Pelodiscus sinensis: one gene and its partner. The protein of the gene in region 1 interacts with the protein of each later gene in a biochemical or structural test. Links are inferred from orthologs where the notes say so. Each region holds a gene or a part of one and is shown on either strand. Other genes may lie near its edges.

Region 1 (7,586 bases):
TGGGCAGATTCCCCACTGAGCGAATAGTGGGGGACAGCCCACCACTAACAAGGCCCTGAGCTGGGAACTGGAGGAGAGAGGAGGATCCAGGTCCACCATCCTTTGGGGCTGTTACCTGGTGTGATCATACCACTGAGCTCACTTACTGTCCTCTGGGATTCACCATCCTGTCTTGATTGGCCATAAGTTTTGGTCTTCCCTAATGAAAGCACAGAGCTGGGTTAACAGCTCCCTAGCCAAACACCACAGATGCTGAATCAGCTCAGCTTTTGGGGAGGGGGCTCAGCTATAGGGCCTTGACAGCGTAGAGGAGTCCTGCCCTCAAAAGGGACCAAACCCCCAAATATTTCCATCTTGCTCTGTATAAAAGTTTTGCACACACAAAACTAATCAGATTCACTCTTATCAATGAAAGAGAGAAATGCACATGTAATGTCAACTGGCAGAACCAAGCCTGGGACCTCTGGAGCTTAGTGCATAAGCCTCTACAGCTGAGCAAAAAGTCGGCAGGCTCTCAGCAAAGGCTGTAGAACAAACTCATTTTCTCTGTAAGTGCCACTACATGGGACAATAAACCACACCCAGTAGATGTGTAGGTTACACATAACTGTGGCTATCCTCCCAGGTAACAATTATTTACACGGGGCTTTATAATAAATAAAAGCATTTTCATTAAGTATAAAAAGTAGGATTTAAGTGATAACAGATGGCTCAAAGTAAGTAACTAAGCAAAAGATAAAACAAAACAAGTCAGTTAAACCTCAATCACTAAGAAACTTGTTACATGCAAATGCTCATCCTACCAGTAGTTCTAATCATCTTTCTCATAAGCTAGGCAGCCTCCTACTTTGGGCCTGATTCTTCTCCTTGTTCAGTCTTAGGCTATGTATACACTGACAGGTGTAGAGCTCTGGCAGTTACAGAGCTGCTCACAGAGTGTTGTAGGGAAACCGCTGTCGTGTGTCCACATTGTGCTCCTTATGATGGTGGAACATGTCCACATTAGCAGCTCTTGCAATGCCACAGAGAGCAGTGTACTGTGGGAAGGCTTTGCAGTGCCTCATGGGGCAGTCAGCATAATTGCAGTTTTCCCAATCCCATTGCTCCGTGGTCATCCATGGACAGCAGCTTTTCAACAAATCCAGGGAGAGGTGAGAGTGTGTATGTATGTGGAGAGGCGGGAGATCATGTGTTTTGGAGGATGTCAGCATGCTGTCTTGTAAGTTCAGAGAGCAGGACAACCTGTCCTGAGGGAGCTTGGGGTAAGGAATTAGGGTGAAGGAGGGGGTGTGAGGTCTGGGGGAGGTTTGCCACTGACATCTCAGCTTCCCCTTCTTCCTGCCTGGCTCTTTGCACAGCAAGCTCTCTCTTTTTCCCCTTCTCTCTCACACACAGCTGCCTGTCTCTGTTTTCAACAGCAGGAGCATTCCACCTGAATGGTCTGCTCTATGTCCTAGAGCAAATCAGCACAGCATGCAGGCTGTCAGAAACAGCTCTGAAAGGGGAGATGCACATGCCTTTAGGGCAGACAGCTGAGTTCAAAACAAGAAACAGAGGGAAACTTGAGGGATTATGAGCCATTTCTGGAGGCCAATCAAAATGCAGCAAACAATTTAAGTGTCCACAAAGGCACCCCAGTGCTGCATCCAGAGTGCAGCAAGAACTGTGGAGTTAGTGTAGACTTGGCCTTAGATGTTTCAAGCAGGCATCTTGGGTGGTAAGTGGTGGTCTCCTGGCATCTGTAGGTTGTCAATGATGCACTGGAGGGGTTTAATCTGGGGGCTGTAGGTAATGAAAACTGGTGTTCTATTATTTTCCTTGTTGGGCCTGTCTTGAAGAAGCAGGTTTTAACCCCTCTAGCACATTATTGACAATTTACAAACAATCCTCACTCTTAAGAGGCCTTGGGAGACAGGTCAGTCCTCACCAACGGACAACCCCCTAACAAAGCAAATTCTTTCCAGCAGCCACACATCACACCTCAGACTTACTCATCTCAGGAATCTACTCCTGCAACAAACCCCATTGTCAACTCTGTTCACATATCTATACAAGTGACACTATCACGGGACCTACCCACGTACGTCACAACATCAGGGGATCATACAACTGCACATCCTCTAATGTGATACAGGCTATCAAGTGGCAGCAATGCTCCTCTGCCATGTATATTGGCCAAACTGGATAGTCCCTATGACAAAAGATAAATGGACACAAGTCAGACATCAGAAATGGTAACATACAGAAACCTGTAGGGGAACATTTTAAACTGCCTGGACACTCAGTCATGGATTTAAAAGTATCCATTCTTCTGCAAAGGAATTTCATCAGCCAATTACAGAGAGAGAGAGAGTGCCGAATTGACATTCATCTGCAAATGTGACAGTTTCCCTGGGCTTGAACAAAAACATTAACTGGATGTTGCATTATAAAGCTAGCCTTCCCCACATTTAACACCTCATTTACATCAAAAGCTGAGTATGGATCACTTCCAGCCCACTCAATTAGCCTCATTAGCAGGGGTCCTACAATTGACAGATACCTTTGTCCCCCCACCCCCACCCCCTCTTTTTCTGTTATAAATTCTGGGTTCCTGTTATTTCCACTCCAGCTCATCTGATGAAGTGGGTTTTGCCCATGAAAGATCACAATACTATATATACTTTCGTTAGTTTCTAAGATGCCACAGGATTACTCATTCAGTTACAGACTAACACAGCTACTCTGAAATATATAGAGGTGAGAAATAACAGACCTTGACCCTATTGTCCCTCTGCAAATGTGTGTACACAGAGTCAGTCCCTTACCTCTCTCTCAAACTGCCAAGTTTCAAAAAGTGCAATGAATAAAAGATTGTTGGGGAGCGGAATAGATCTGGACAAGAAGAAAAAGTCTGGAGATAAATGTGAGAAGGGAAGGACAGGCAAAAGAAACAAAAGTGAATCTGATGAAGCAGCATATTACAGAAGTCTTGAGGTCTTTCTGAGTAGCTCACATTGATCTGAGATCTACTATACCATTCGCACTGGCCTCCAGCATTGGTTAGCCAACGATTTCCATCCCAGCAAAGCACAGCGTTCACAGGCCAGTAGTGGTACCACAACATGTACGAGAGTCCCTTCAGTGGTGGACCAAGCTGAGCAATCTTCTCACGGGCATCCCATTTCATCGCCCACAACCCACAAGACAAATAACCACCGATGCGTCCCTTACAGGCAGCGGAGCACACATGAACAACCTGACGATCCAAGGGCGCTGGTCGACACAAGAAATGCTGTTGCATAGCAATGTGCTCAAGCTACGGGCGGTACGACATGCTTGGGAACATTTTTAGTCCCAGATACGGAATACAATTACCAGAATCCTGACGGACATCATGGCAACCATGTTTTATATCAACAGGCAGGGAGGCGCCCGATCCCGTTCTCTCTGTGCGGAGAGTGGCATGGGAGTCAGCCTGCTTCCTCTCACCCCTGTTGTGTGTGTGTCAGATGCCTGCGATGTGCAGGTTAATCGAGTCCAGGCTTATGGGATAACTTTGTACATGTTAACATCCCCGCTCAGCTTCCAGCTTCTCTGCCCTGACTCCTGAGCCCCCATCTCCTAACCCTCTGCCCTGACTCCTGAGCCCCCATCTCCTAACCCTCTGCCCTGAGCCCCCATCTCCTAACCCTCTGCCCTGACTCCTGAGCCCCCATCTCCTAACCCTCTGCCCTGAGCCCCCATCTCCTAACCCTCTGCCCTGACTCCTGAGCCCCCATCTCCTAACCCTCTGTCCTGAACCCCCATCTCCTAACCCTCTGCCCTGAGCCCCCATCTCCTAACCCTCTGCCCTGACTCCTGAGCCCCCATCTCCTAACCCTCTGCCCTGAGCCCCCATCTCCTAACCCTCTGCCCTGAGTCCTGAGCCCCCATCTCCTAACCCTCTGCCCTGAGCCCCCATCTCCTAACCCTCTGCCCTGAGTCCTGAGCCCCCATCTCCTAACCCTCTGCCCTGAGCCCCCATCTCCTAACCCTCTGCCCTGACTCCTGAGCCCCCATCTCCTAACCCTCTGCCCTGACTCCTGAGCCCCCATCTCCTAACCCTCTGCCCTGACTCCTGAGCCCCCATCTCCTAACCCTCTGCCCTGACTCCTGAGCCCCCATCTCCTAACCCTCTGCCCTGACTCCTGAGCCCCCATCTCCTAACCCTCTGCCCTGACTCCTGAGCCCCCATCTCCTAACCCTCTGCCCTGACTCCTGAGCCCCCATCTCCTAACCCTCTGCCCTGAGCCCCCATCTCCTAACCCTCTGCCCTGAGTCCTGAGCCCCCATCTCCTAACCCTCTGCCCTGAGTCCCCCATCTCCTAACCCTCTGCCCTGAGCCCCCATCTCCTAACCCTCTGCCCTGAGTCCTAGCTCCCATTTCCAATGTGGGAAGAAGCCTGATGCCCCAGCTGTGAAATGTGGGGAGAGTTATTGTCCCACATTCTGTATAGTGGGGGGGGGGTCCCCGCATTGTACGAGGTAGAATCTCTGGCCGCAAGCGATGTCCGCGCCCGTGCGCAATGAGCGCAGGGAAGAGCCATTTTGTGCGGAGCAGTGGAGGCAGCAGGACCCCGGAGCAGCCCGGCTCCCGGCTCACGCCCCCCGCGGGGCAAGGACCGAAGAGGCGCAGGGCGGTGCCGAGCTGCCCCAGGGCCAGTGCTTCCCGAGGGCTAAGGCCCGCCCCGTGCTGCGGGGACAAAGGCGCTTGGGCAGCAGCGAGCGGCTGCAGAACCGCGCCCCGCCCCGGCCGCCAGCCAGCCCCGGCCGCTTTCGCTTTCGCGTTGCAGCCTGCTCCGCCGGGACCCGCCGCGCGCAGCTGGGTGCGTAACCTGCCCCTTCCCCGCGGGGCCGGGCTCCGGGGCTCCAAAGCCGCCGCGGCCTGGGAGCCAGCGAGGGGAGGGGCGGCCTTTGTGACCCCCGCTGGTGGAGGGGGGGGGATTCCCGAGGCCCCCCTGGGAGCGGAGCCCCGGCGCTGGAGTGCGGCCCCGCCGTGCGGATGAGCAGCCCCCGCGGGCAGCCTCGCTCCGCAGTGTCGGCGGGCTGCAGACCCACCCAAAGGGCTGCACGAGGCGGGGCGAACTCTCTGGCTGCCCTGGGAAGTGAGCTCGTTCCGCTTTGGCTTTCAAGGGATCAGGGGCCGGTTACGCGACAGCCAGAGAGCGCCCAGGCCTTAGGAGAGCGGCTGCCAAGCAGCCAGCCCCAGGGCCCAGTGCTCCCGAGTCGTAAAAAACAACGTAGAATAGTGATAGAAATGTAGCCGTGTTAGTCTGGGGTAGCTGAAGCAAAATCCGGTGGCTTCCTGGGCTGTATTTTGCCCAGCCCTGATGTACAGAGAGTTGTTTCATATCCACAATGACCATGGTCACGTCAACAAAAATGAGACCCATAATTCAACATCAGCGTAGGTCTTTGGAAAAATGTCTCAGTTCCACAGTGGGTCTGGCCCACGAAAGCTCATCATCTAATAAACCATCTTGTTAGTCTTTAAAGTGCTACATTGTCCTGCATTTTGCTTAAAAAACAATGCAGAGCGTCAGCACACGCTCATGGGCTTTTCCTACTCTGAGAAACTCCTGGTGGGGCACGGAGCGTTTAAAAGCTTATTTAACAAAACATGGACTGGCAAACAGACACAGGGACAGAGGGAGGTGGTTGGAGTCCCCCCAGAAATGTTGCAACAGTATTTCCTAGTCCTGCTTACACGATGACAACAGGCAGGCGGAGCAGACAGGTTGCACAATGTCCATGCTATACGTGGTTGGTATGAGTAAAGCTAGCAGCACTCTGATCAGATCCCTGTAGAACCGTAAAACAGACAGTAAGTATATTGAAGCAAAATGCAGGACAATGTAGCACTTTAAAGACTAACAAGATGGTTTATTAGATGAGCTTTCGTGGGCCAGACCCACTGTGGAACTGAGACATTTTTCCAAAGAAGACCTACACTGATGTTGAATTATGGGTCCCATTTTTGTTGATGTGACGATGGTCATTGTGGATATGAAACAACTCTCTGTACATCAGGGCTGGGCAAAATACAGCCCAGGAAGCCACCGGATCTAGCCTGCGGATGCTGCAGGGAGCCTCAGGCAGGCTCCCCGCTTGCTTTGTCCCACCCGCTCTGAGCCCTGGAGGGGAGGGGAGAGGAGAGGGAAGGGCTTCAATTGCTGCTCCCACCCACAGCACAATCCCATTGTCTGATTTCTGGCCAGATAATTTCACAGATTGACATAATACTGTGTATGAAATGAAAAAATTCTTATAGAAGGTGCCAGGAACAAAAGGACTTTCCCTATTACGGGTCATAACCTTGTTGATCATTGCCAGTAGGAAACATTCAAAGAACTAATAAGAAGCAGGAAAGTTGTTGGCATTAGAGACACCAGTTTATCAGCATACATTCAGTTAGACCCAGATCCCTTGCTGTAGGAGCTTTAGCAAAAATACGAATGCAAGAAGTCATAAGCAGTTACTGCATAAGTAAAATTTCATCAGACACAATTGACAGAATAAAGCAAAAAAGGCACACATGCATAAGGAAGCTGCCAGATCAAATTTACAACATAAGAACAATTCACGATAATCTTTGGATAATATTGTATTCAGTTAATTATTACAATTTAATTACTTTGTGTAAAAAACATAGTGGGGTATTCTTACAATATAGGGCCCTGCCCCTTCTGGGACCACCCTTGACCACTTCAAAAATTATTGCCCACCCCTGGGCAAGGAACGCTGTCAAATCTGACAAGCAGAACATTTATCCTACTTTTAAAAAATATGATAGCTTCCTACCCTGTTTGTCTTTTCTATTCCTCAATCTAAGGTATGAGAAGTGACTTCATAGTAATAAATACCACATTCAATGGGCACCACTGTTATAATGTAGAAGGTTTAGACAATAGTTAAAATGCTTGAAGCCTGAGAACTCTACAGCTGCTATTGATGAATGTCAGGACCCATTTTTGCCAGCGTAGCTGCAACCAGAAATACAAGATTTTCATGTATGAGTTACCAGTGTTTCCTGTGTTCAGAAGCTTTTGGGGTAGTTTATAAACTATCTTATGTTCTGATTTTGCACTAGCTCTCTATGGACTGTGGGGTCTGAAGAGGGTAGCACAACATGGAGGATTAGGGATTAATTAATTCTATGGAGGAAGTAAAACAGCTTTATAAAAACAAACTAATGTATTGATTTTCATTGCTGTTTGATTTGAGGGTGGCTCTTCCTATTTATTCAAGGACCATGAATGGCTGTTGTGGCCTGACAAATATACTTTCTAATCTTTTCAGGTGTACGTCTTTTATTTTTGTCTAGAGACTAATTAGAGTGTGCCCATGTGGACAAAAGTCCGCCCAGAATTTAATTAGAAAATGTGTATGATGCAAGATGGTTTCTCACGAAGGCTTAAGGGGCCAACTTTGAATCTCCCTGTTTGTGTTGTAGCCTGAATTGCAGATTATTGTATTTTACAGCTGACTCCTATCATCCTGTTTTTGACAGAAGGGAAGCTGTGCCTTTGTCGGTCTCTAGAATTGATTTCCCTTTACCCCAGATA
Region 2 (7,962 bases), on another chromosome or scaffold:
TAGGTATATCTCTCAGGAGACACTACGGAAGAGAAGAAAGGTGAGTTCCCTTGGGACAGCACCACCAGGGACAAGCACCCCTCAGACTTCTCCACCCTCCCAAGCCCAACCTGGAGTCAACCCCCCCAGGCCCCCCAAAGCCCTGGTACCTGTTCGCTGCCTCTTCAAAGTGACGTAGGGCAACAGGTCATGCCTGGTCAGCAACCGCAGGAGCTGCAAGAGCTGCAGGAAATTGGTCTCGTCGCATCTCCCCCTCCTTTCTAGCTCCAGCAGCAGCTCCACCCCATTCCTGGGCTGGTGCCGCTCAGCCACCACCTCTAGGCTCCCGGCTGCCTCCACTGGAGCTCGCCTGTGCTGGTTCCTCCTTTGCCAGCTCTCTAAAAGAGGTGAGGGGGTCTCTGCTCCACTCTCCTCTGCCACAGCCCACAGCCCAGGGTCCAGGGGATGGGTCCAGGGCTGGGTCTCATCAAGGAGAAAGGAAAGCACAGCCACATCATTCTCAGTCAGCTGGGAGCCGATCACCTCAAACATGCGGTGTAAGGACACCATGCCGTAGTACTCCAAGCACTCCTCCTCCTCCCAGCTTTGGGAAACAACCGGGCGCTTCATTTCAGCCATTCCAGGTCACACGCCCGCAAATCAGCTCTGGCTTTGGGCAGTGCAGTGAATAGGAGGTGCTTTGGGGTAGGTGACTGGGAGGAGACTTGGGGTCTAACACGTTTTAGGGCTGAATGGAGAATGTGTAAGGACTCCTACACCACGAGATCTCTCTGGGCACTCGCTAAGGCACTTGCGTCTGAACAGCGTCTGCAAAAGGACAGGACAAGACCGTCAGTTGGAGCAGGAGCACTTTGGTGTAGTCGAGTGGGACAAGAAAAGCCCAGGAGTCACATGCCACCAGAATCCACTGTCAGGTCAGACAGTGGCAGGAGTGACTCTGCACAGCGCTGGGAAAAGGGAGCCAGGGCCCTTGTGCTCCCTTCCTAGTCCTGCATTTGTAAGTGATGGGTTGCAATTCTGTCATGAACTTTGGAATCCTGATGCCCTGCTCCTCGCCCAGAACCCAGGCATCTTGGCTCCCAGCGCCTCACCCTAACCTCTAGCCTTCGCACCCCTCCCCAAGCTGGGGCCAGATTCTAGGAGCCCCACCCCTGGCTCGCAGCACCACTCCCCTTGCTGCATTGGACTGTGAGCCTGTGCAGTAAAACCCGATTTCATGGCTGAGCAACAACATGGTGGCTCCCTGCGCAGGTGTCCTGGAGCAAAGGCACCACAAGGTGGCAGCAACCAGATGACTGGAACAAACAACAAGACCTGCCAGCACAGCTGGGTGCCTCAGATCTCCCCCAGCCCTTCTCCCCCACAGGAACAGGACTTTGCCCTCCCACCCCCAGCCTGTATCACTTCCCCACGCACAGCCCATGCCTTGCCCCCCAGGCTACAGGCCTCCTCACAGCGAGGATGTTCCTTCCGCACCAGCCCTGACCACAGCCCACCGTGCACCCAGCTAGAACAACCCCCATGGGCAACTATGGACCCCCCCCCCCCTCTCTGCTGGTACCACCCCTCCCCCCATGGGCAACTACAGCCTCACCCTGCCCTCCACCACCCCCTCACCCTTCCCCACAGGGAGCCACCTCACCCTGCCCTCCACAGCCCCTCCTGTGCTACTCCTTCCCCCACAGGCAACTACAGCCTCACCCTGCCCTCCCCCGCCCCCCATACCCCTCTCCCACAGGTAACCACGGCCTCACCCTGCCACCCCCATAGGCAACCACAACCTCACCCTGCCCTCCGCCACCGCCCCCCCACAGGGAGCCACCTCACCCTGCCCTCCACAGCCCCTCCGTGCCACCCTCCCCCACGGGCAACCGCAGCCTCCCCCCCATACCACCCCTCCCCCACGGTAAAACACAGCCTCCCCTGCCCCCCCGTACCACCCCTCCCCCACGGGCAACCGCAGCCTCCCCCTGCCCCTCCCGTACCGCCCCTCCCCCCACGGGCAACCGCAGCCTCCCCCTGCCCCCCCCGAACCGCCCCTCCCCCCACGGGCACCCGCAGCCTCCCCCTGCCCCCCCCGTACCGCCCCTCCCCCCACGGGCACCCGCAGCCTCCCCCTGCCCCCCCGTACCACCCCTCCCCCCCACGGGCACCCGCAGCCTCCCCCTGCCCCCCCGTACCGCCCCTCCCCCACGGGCACCCGCAGCCTCCCCCTGCCCCCCCCCGTACCGCCCCTCCCCCACGGGCACCCGCAGCCTCCCCCTGCCCCCCCCCGTACCGCCCCTCCCCCACGGGCACCCGCAGCCTCCCCCTGCCTCCCCCTTACCGCCCCTCCCCCACGGGCACCCGCAGCCTCCCCCTGCCCCCCCCGTACCGCCCCTCCCCCACGGGCACCCGCAGCCTCCCCCTGCCCCCCCCATACCGCCCCTCCCCCACGGGCACCCGCAGCCTCCCCCTGCCCCCCCCATACCGCCCCTCCCCCCACGGGCACCCGCAGCCTCCCCCTGCCCCCCCCGTACCGCCCCTCCCCCCACGGGCACCCGCAGCCTCCCCCTGCCCCCCCCCGTACCGCCCCTCCCCCCACGGGCACCCGCAGCCTCCCCCTGCCCCCCCCGTACCGCCCCTCCCCCCACGGGCACCCGCAGCCTCCCCCTGCCCCCCCCGTACCGCCCCTCCCCCCACGGGCACCCGCAGCCTCCCCCTGCCCCCCCCGTACCACCCCTCCCCCACGGGCAACCGCAGCCTCCCCCTGCCCCCCCCGTACCGCCCCTCCCCCCACGGTAGCCAGCCCTGCCCCGCCCCCCGCCGGTCCGACTCCCCCCACAACTCGGCCCGCCCGTCTCACCCAGCTCTCGCCGCCTCAGCCGCCGCTTGGTTTCTTCTGGCACCTTCGATCCCTCTGCGCATGCGCGTCCTGCGCCTCCCAGCAACTGCCGCCCGCGACCCCGCCCTGCGCATGCGTCTCCACATCCGGTCCCGCCCTGTCCCTGCTCCCAGCGCATGTGTCGAAACCGCCCCGCGCATGGGGCGCACGCGCCGCTCTCGGCGTCTCCCTTCGCGCATGCGCACACTGCCCCATCGGTGTAAATAACTGCCCACCGATCGTAAGCTTTCCCACTGACCCCTCCCCCATCGCGCCCGGCACGCGGACGTTCGCTCTGTGTCCACGTGACCCACGTGTGCGGGCGGGACTGACTAGCCCTGGGTGTCACGCCTGGCGCATGCGCAGGGCCAAGACCTGGGAAGAGGACGGTTTAAGGCGAGGCAGCTACGCTGCTAACGGAAGGGGGCGGCAGCGCAGCCGGCGTGCGCTGGGGAGGCTAATGGGCAGCTGCGCTGCTCGCGTAAAGGGGCGGTCGCAATGGATGGGGGCGGGGCGGCTACGCTATTGACGTAGTAGATTAAAACCTGTCAGTTCCCTCCCCCCAAGGCCTCGGCACGGGGAGGCGCCCTGCACACAGCAGGGAGGGAGGAGGAAACCCCCCCCCACACACAGCAGGGAGGGAGGAGGAAACCCCCCCACCCCACACACAGCAGGGAGGGAGGAGGAGGAAAGTTCCCCCCCCACACACACACACATCAGGGAGGGAGGAGGAGGAAAGTTCCCCCCCCACACACACACATCAGGGAGGGAGGAGGAGGAAAGTTCCCCCCCACACACACACACACATCAGGGAGGGAGGAGGAGGAAAGCGACCCCCCCCACCCCGCACACACATCAGGGAGGGAGGAGGAGGAAAGTCCCCCCCCCCAAACACACACATCAGGGAGGGAGGAGGAGGAAAGTTCCCCCCCCACACACACACATCAGGGAGGGAGGAGGAGGAAAGTTCCCCCCCCACACACACGCACATCAGGGAGGGAGGAGGAGGAAAGTTCCCCCCCACACACACACACATCAGGGAGGGAGGAGGAGGAAAGCGACCCCCCCCACCCCGCACACACATCAGGGAGGGAGGATGACAGCCCCCCCCAAACACACAGGCTACCTTACCTCCACACTGACAGCTTCTTGCGCAAGCATTCTTTTGTGGAAGAGTTCTTGTGCAAAAGCTCTCCCAAAAGAGAGCATCTACACTGGCATGTGCTTTTGCGCAAGAGCACCCGTGCCAGTGTAGACGTTCCCTTGCACAAGAAAGCTCCGATGGCCATTTTAACCACCGGGCATTCTTGCATAAGAAATTCATGTAGCCTGTCTATACTGGCCTCTTGTGCAAGAACAGTTGTGCAAAAGGGCTTATTCCTGAGTGGGCGCGTCAGCGTTCTGGTGCAAGAAGCCCTGATTTCATACATTAGAAGTCAGTTTACTTGTGCAAGAACTAGTGGACAGTGTAGCCAGGCAGCAAGTTTTTGCACAAGATCACGCCAGTGTAGACACAGCCACAGGGTGGGGAGGGGAGACATCAGCCATCTTCACAAGGAAAAACCAGTTGCTTTTCATTTTAACCTACCTGGCTGCAGTCTTAACGACCTTACTACATGCATCTTACTTCAAAGAGCCTTTCACACCAGATTACAGAGGGAAACTTCAGAGCTTTCTTTCATGCTTAAATCTGACACATTAGGAATGGACCTTAACAAAGATGCTAATTACATTACCCATTACCAAGATAGTTTCCCCATTTATCACCCCTGATTAGCCGTTCATTGACTAGCAAATAGCTATTCCCTACCTCCCTCTCCCTCACCTTCTGTACTAAATCTGATTTGTCAGTTTTATAATGTGTTCACTTTTTTCATTGTATTCCTTTGTTAGCTATGGTCCTGCCAATTCTCTTCCACTATTTGATCTGAGGAAGTGGGTCTGGCCCACGAAAGCTCCTCACCTAATAAACCACCTTGTGAGTCTGTAAAGCTCCAGCTTTCCCTTTTGCCTTAGCCAGCTCAGCCTAGCAGGGCCGGTCTATCCCTGTGTCTCCTGGTGGGGCGCCACTGCCCGTGTCCAATAGCACTGCCCAGCTGCCATAGCTCACACCCCGCGGGGTCTCTCCCTTTGTGTCTCTGGTGCACGTGTCCATGGGGGGGGGCTCCCTGTGTCCTTGCTCGAAGGGGCTGCACGGGGCAGTGCACCCTCCCCCCGGCACTGGCTGAGCCCCACCCTGGCGCCTCCCCCCGCCCCTCCAGTTTGGGGGCGGGCCCCGCAGACTCTGACCCGCTGGGGGCGGGAGGAGGCTCCAGCTGGCGGGGGGCGGGGTCAACGGACCCCCCCCACGGCCCTGAGTGCGGGGAGCCGGGGCTATGGCGCATGCGCGGCATTTCAGGGTGTCACGTGGGTTGTCCCGCAGGCTGTGCTGCCCAGGGGAGGTGTCACGTGTGCTGTCCCGAGGGGCGGGGTCGCGCTCCCCCCCCGCCTCGAAATCCATCATGGGCGGGGCTTCCTGTGACCGCGCCCCTCTCCCGGTCGCCCCGCCCCCGCCGCGCAGCCTCGTTCCCGCCCGCAGTCCGCCCGGGACGGCAGCCGCCCCGCCCCCTCAGTATCGAGCCCGCTGATTGGGCCCCGCCGAGCAGACGCCCGCGACCAATCAGGAAGCGCGGGGCGGCGGGGTCCGGCCGGGAGGAGACGGAGCGAGGCGGCGGTGGCCGAGCCGGGGTGAGTGACGGGCCCTGCCCCCCCCGAAACACCCCCCGCGCCGGGCCCCTCCCCCACAATCCACCGCGCTGGGCCCCGCCCCCAGAACCCCCCGTTGGGCCTTCCCCGCAGAGCCCCCCAGAAACACCCCCGGGCTGGGCCCTGCCCCCCCGCTCAGCCCTGCCCCCCCCGGGTCTGGACTCTGCCCCCCCCCCGCTCAGCCCTGCCCCCCCCGGGTCTGGACTCTGCCCCCCCCGGGTCTGGACTCTGCCCCCCCCCCACGCTGGGCCCTGCCCCCCCCCCCGGGTCTGGACTCTGCCTCCCCCGGGCTGGGCCCTACCCCCCCCCGCTCAGCCCTGCCCCCCCACGCTCAGCCCTGTCTCTCCCCCCGGGCTGGGCCCCCCCGACCTCCCCCCGGGCTGGGCCCTGCCCCCCCGCTCAGCCCTCTCCCCCCCCCGGGCTGGGCCCTGCCCCCCCACGCTCAGCCCTGTCTCTCCCCCTGGGCTGGCGCCCCCCCCCCCGGGTCTGGACTCTGCCCCTGACAGGTTCTCTCCCGCAGGCCATGGCAGAGGAGCTGCCCCCGTCGCTCTTCTTCCAGCACCAGTACATGTGCTCCGAGTGCGGCCTGCTCTACAACACGCTGGAGGAGGTGCTGATCCACCAGCAGAGCCACCTGGGGGAGCCCTGCCAGCCGGCCGGGCCCCCGCCCGAGAACCACTGCCAGTGCCTGGAGTGCGGCCGTGTCCTGCTCTCGCCCGACCAGCTGCTGGCCCACCAGAGCCTGCACCCCCGCCCGGCGCCCGCCGCCAGCCAGATCCACTACCAGTGCAGCGAATGCCAGGAGCTCTTCACTGCGCCCGACCTGTGGCTGGCCCATCGCCAGAGCCACAAGCCCCAGGAGGCCAGGACCCCCCCCGAACCGCCGGCCCCACCCCCGCCCGCCATGCACCCCTACGAATGCTCAGAGTGCGCCAGCCTCTTCCAGACGCCCGAGGAGCTGCTGGAGCACCAGGGCGAGCACTTCACCGAGACGGAGAAGGAGAGTGGGGAGCCGGCCGCGCCCGAGGGGGTCAAACAGGAGGCCCCCGGCTCCCCCGCCCCCTTGCAGCAGCCGGTGCCACCCCTGCTGCCCCCTCCCCGGGCCTGGCGCTGTGGTGAGTGCAAGCGGGAGTTCGGCAGCGCCGAGGAGCTGCGGCGGCACCGCCGGGAGCACACTTCGGAGGAGTTCCTGTGCGGCGAGTGCCAGCGCGGCTTCACCACGGCCAATCGCCTGCTGGCTCACCAGCGCGTGCATGTGGACGGCACGCACGAGTGCCCGAACTGCAGCAAAGTCTTCAAGAAGGCAGCCTCGCTGGAGCAGCACATGCGCATCCACAAGGGCGAGGCCCTGTACCTGTGCGTCGACTGCGGCCTGGGCTTCGGCACAGAGATGACCCTGGTGGTGCACCGCAAGAGCCACACCGCCAACCCCCTGCACCGCTGCGCCTGCGGCAAGTCCTTCAGCAACATGACCAAGTTCCTCTACCACCGCCGCACCCACGCTGGCAAGAGCGGGGCCCCGCCCCCCCGCGCTCGCGCCCCTGAGCCAACCCAGGTGCCGGAGCAAGAGGCAGCCCAGCCACCTGCTGCGGCCGGGGCAGTGAACGGCTTGCCGGTGCCCCCTGCGGCAGGCGGCTTCCTGTGCCCGCAGTGTGGCAAGGAGTTTTCCAGCCACATCCGCATGGTGCGGCACAAGCGGGTGGTGCACGTGCTGGAGCGCAAGCACAAGTGCCCCACCTGCGGCAAAACCTTCAAGAAGCTGGTGCATGTGCGGAATCACCTTCGCACCCACACTGGGGAGCGCCCCTTCCAGTGCACCGAGTGCGGCAAGACCTTCGCCTCCCAGGCCAACCTGATGCGCCACCACCTGACCCACACGGGCGAGCGCCCCTACCAGTGCGACGTCTGCCAGAAGCGCTTCACCCAGTCCTCCAACCTGCAGCAGCACCGGCTGCTTCACTCGGGTGCCGGCCCCTTCCCTTGCCAGGACTGCGGTGCCACCTTCTCCCGGGCCCACAAGCTGGCCCTGCACCGTGTCAGCCACACGGGCCGGTTGCCCTTCCAGTGCCCCGAGTGTGACCATTCCTTCGCCCGCAAGCGGCTGCTGGAGCTGCACCGCCTGGCCCATGCCGGGCGCGAGCCTCACCGCTGCCCGGACTGCGGCGCCCTCTTCGTCCGCCTGGCCAAGCTGGAGGAGCACCGGTGCGCCCACAAGAAGCTGTACCCGTGCCCGGCCTGCGGCAAGTGCCTGGGATCCCTGGCCAAGCTGGCGCTGCACCAGCTGGTGCACTCCGGCCAGCGCCCCTTCACCTGCAACCTCTGCGGCAAGGGCTTCACCAACCCCAGCGGGCTGA

What was found.
Region 2: the proteins of CFLAR (region 1) and DEDD2 form a complex in vitro, tested with the Homo sapiens proteins (2 studies listed by BioGRID). The link is inferred for Pelodiscus sinensis from reciprocal best matches to the Homo sapiens genes CFLAR and DEDD2.

Annotation. Positions count from the first base shown.
Region 1 is NC_134717.1:73,715,116-73,722,701, forward strand, and holds the start of CFLAR (CASP8 and FADD-like apoptosis regulator), read left to right. Parts: upstream 1-4,576; 5' UTR 4,577-4,847; intron 4,848-7,586. UniProt on the Homo sapiens protein: Apoptosis regulator protein which may function as a crucial link between cell survival and cell death pathways in mammalian cells. Acts as an inhibitor of TNFRSF6 mediated apoptosis.
Region 2 is NW_027465888.1:149,802-157,763, forward strand, and holds the start of DEDD2 (DNA-binding death effector domain-containing protein 2), read right to left. Parts: upstream 3,002-7,962; 5' UTR 2,846-3,001; intron 808-2,845; 5' UTR 619-807; coding exon 150-618; intron 23-149; coding exon 1-22. Other genes in the region: zinc finger protein 526-like, read left to right, coding at 6,132-7,962. UniProt on the Homo sapiens protein: May play a critical role in death receptor-induced apoptosis and may target CASP8 and CASP10 to the nucleus. May regulate degradation of intermediate filaments during apoptosis.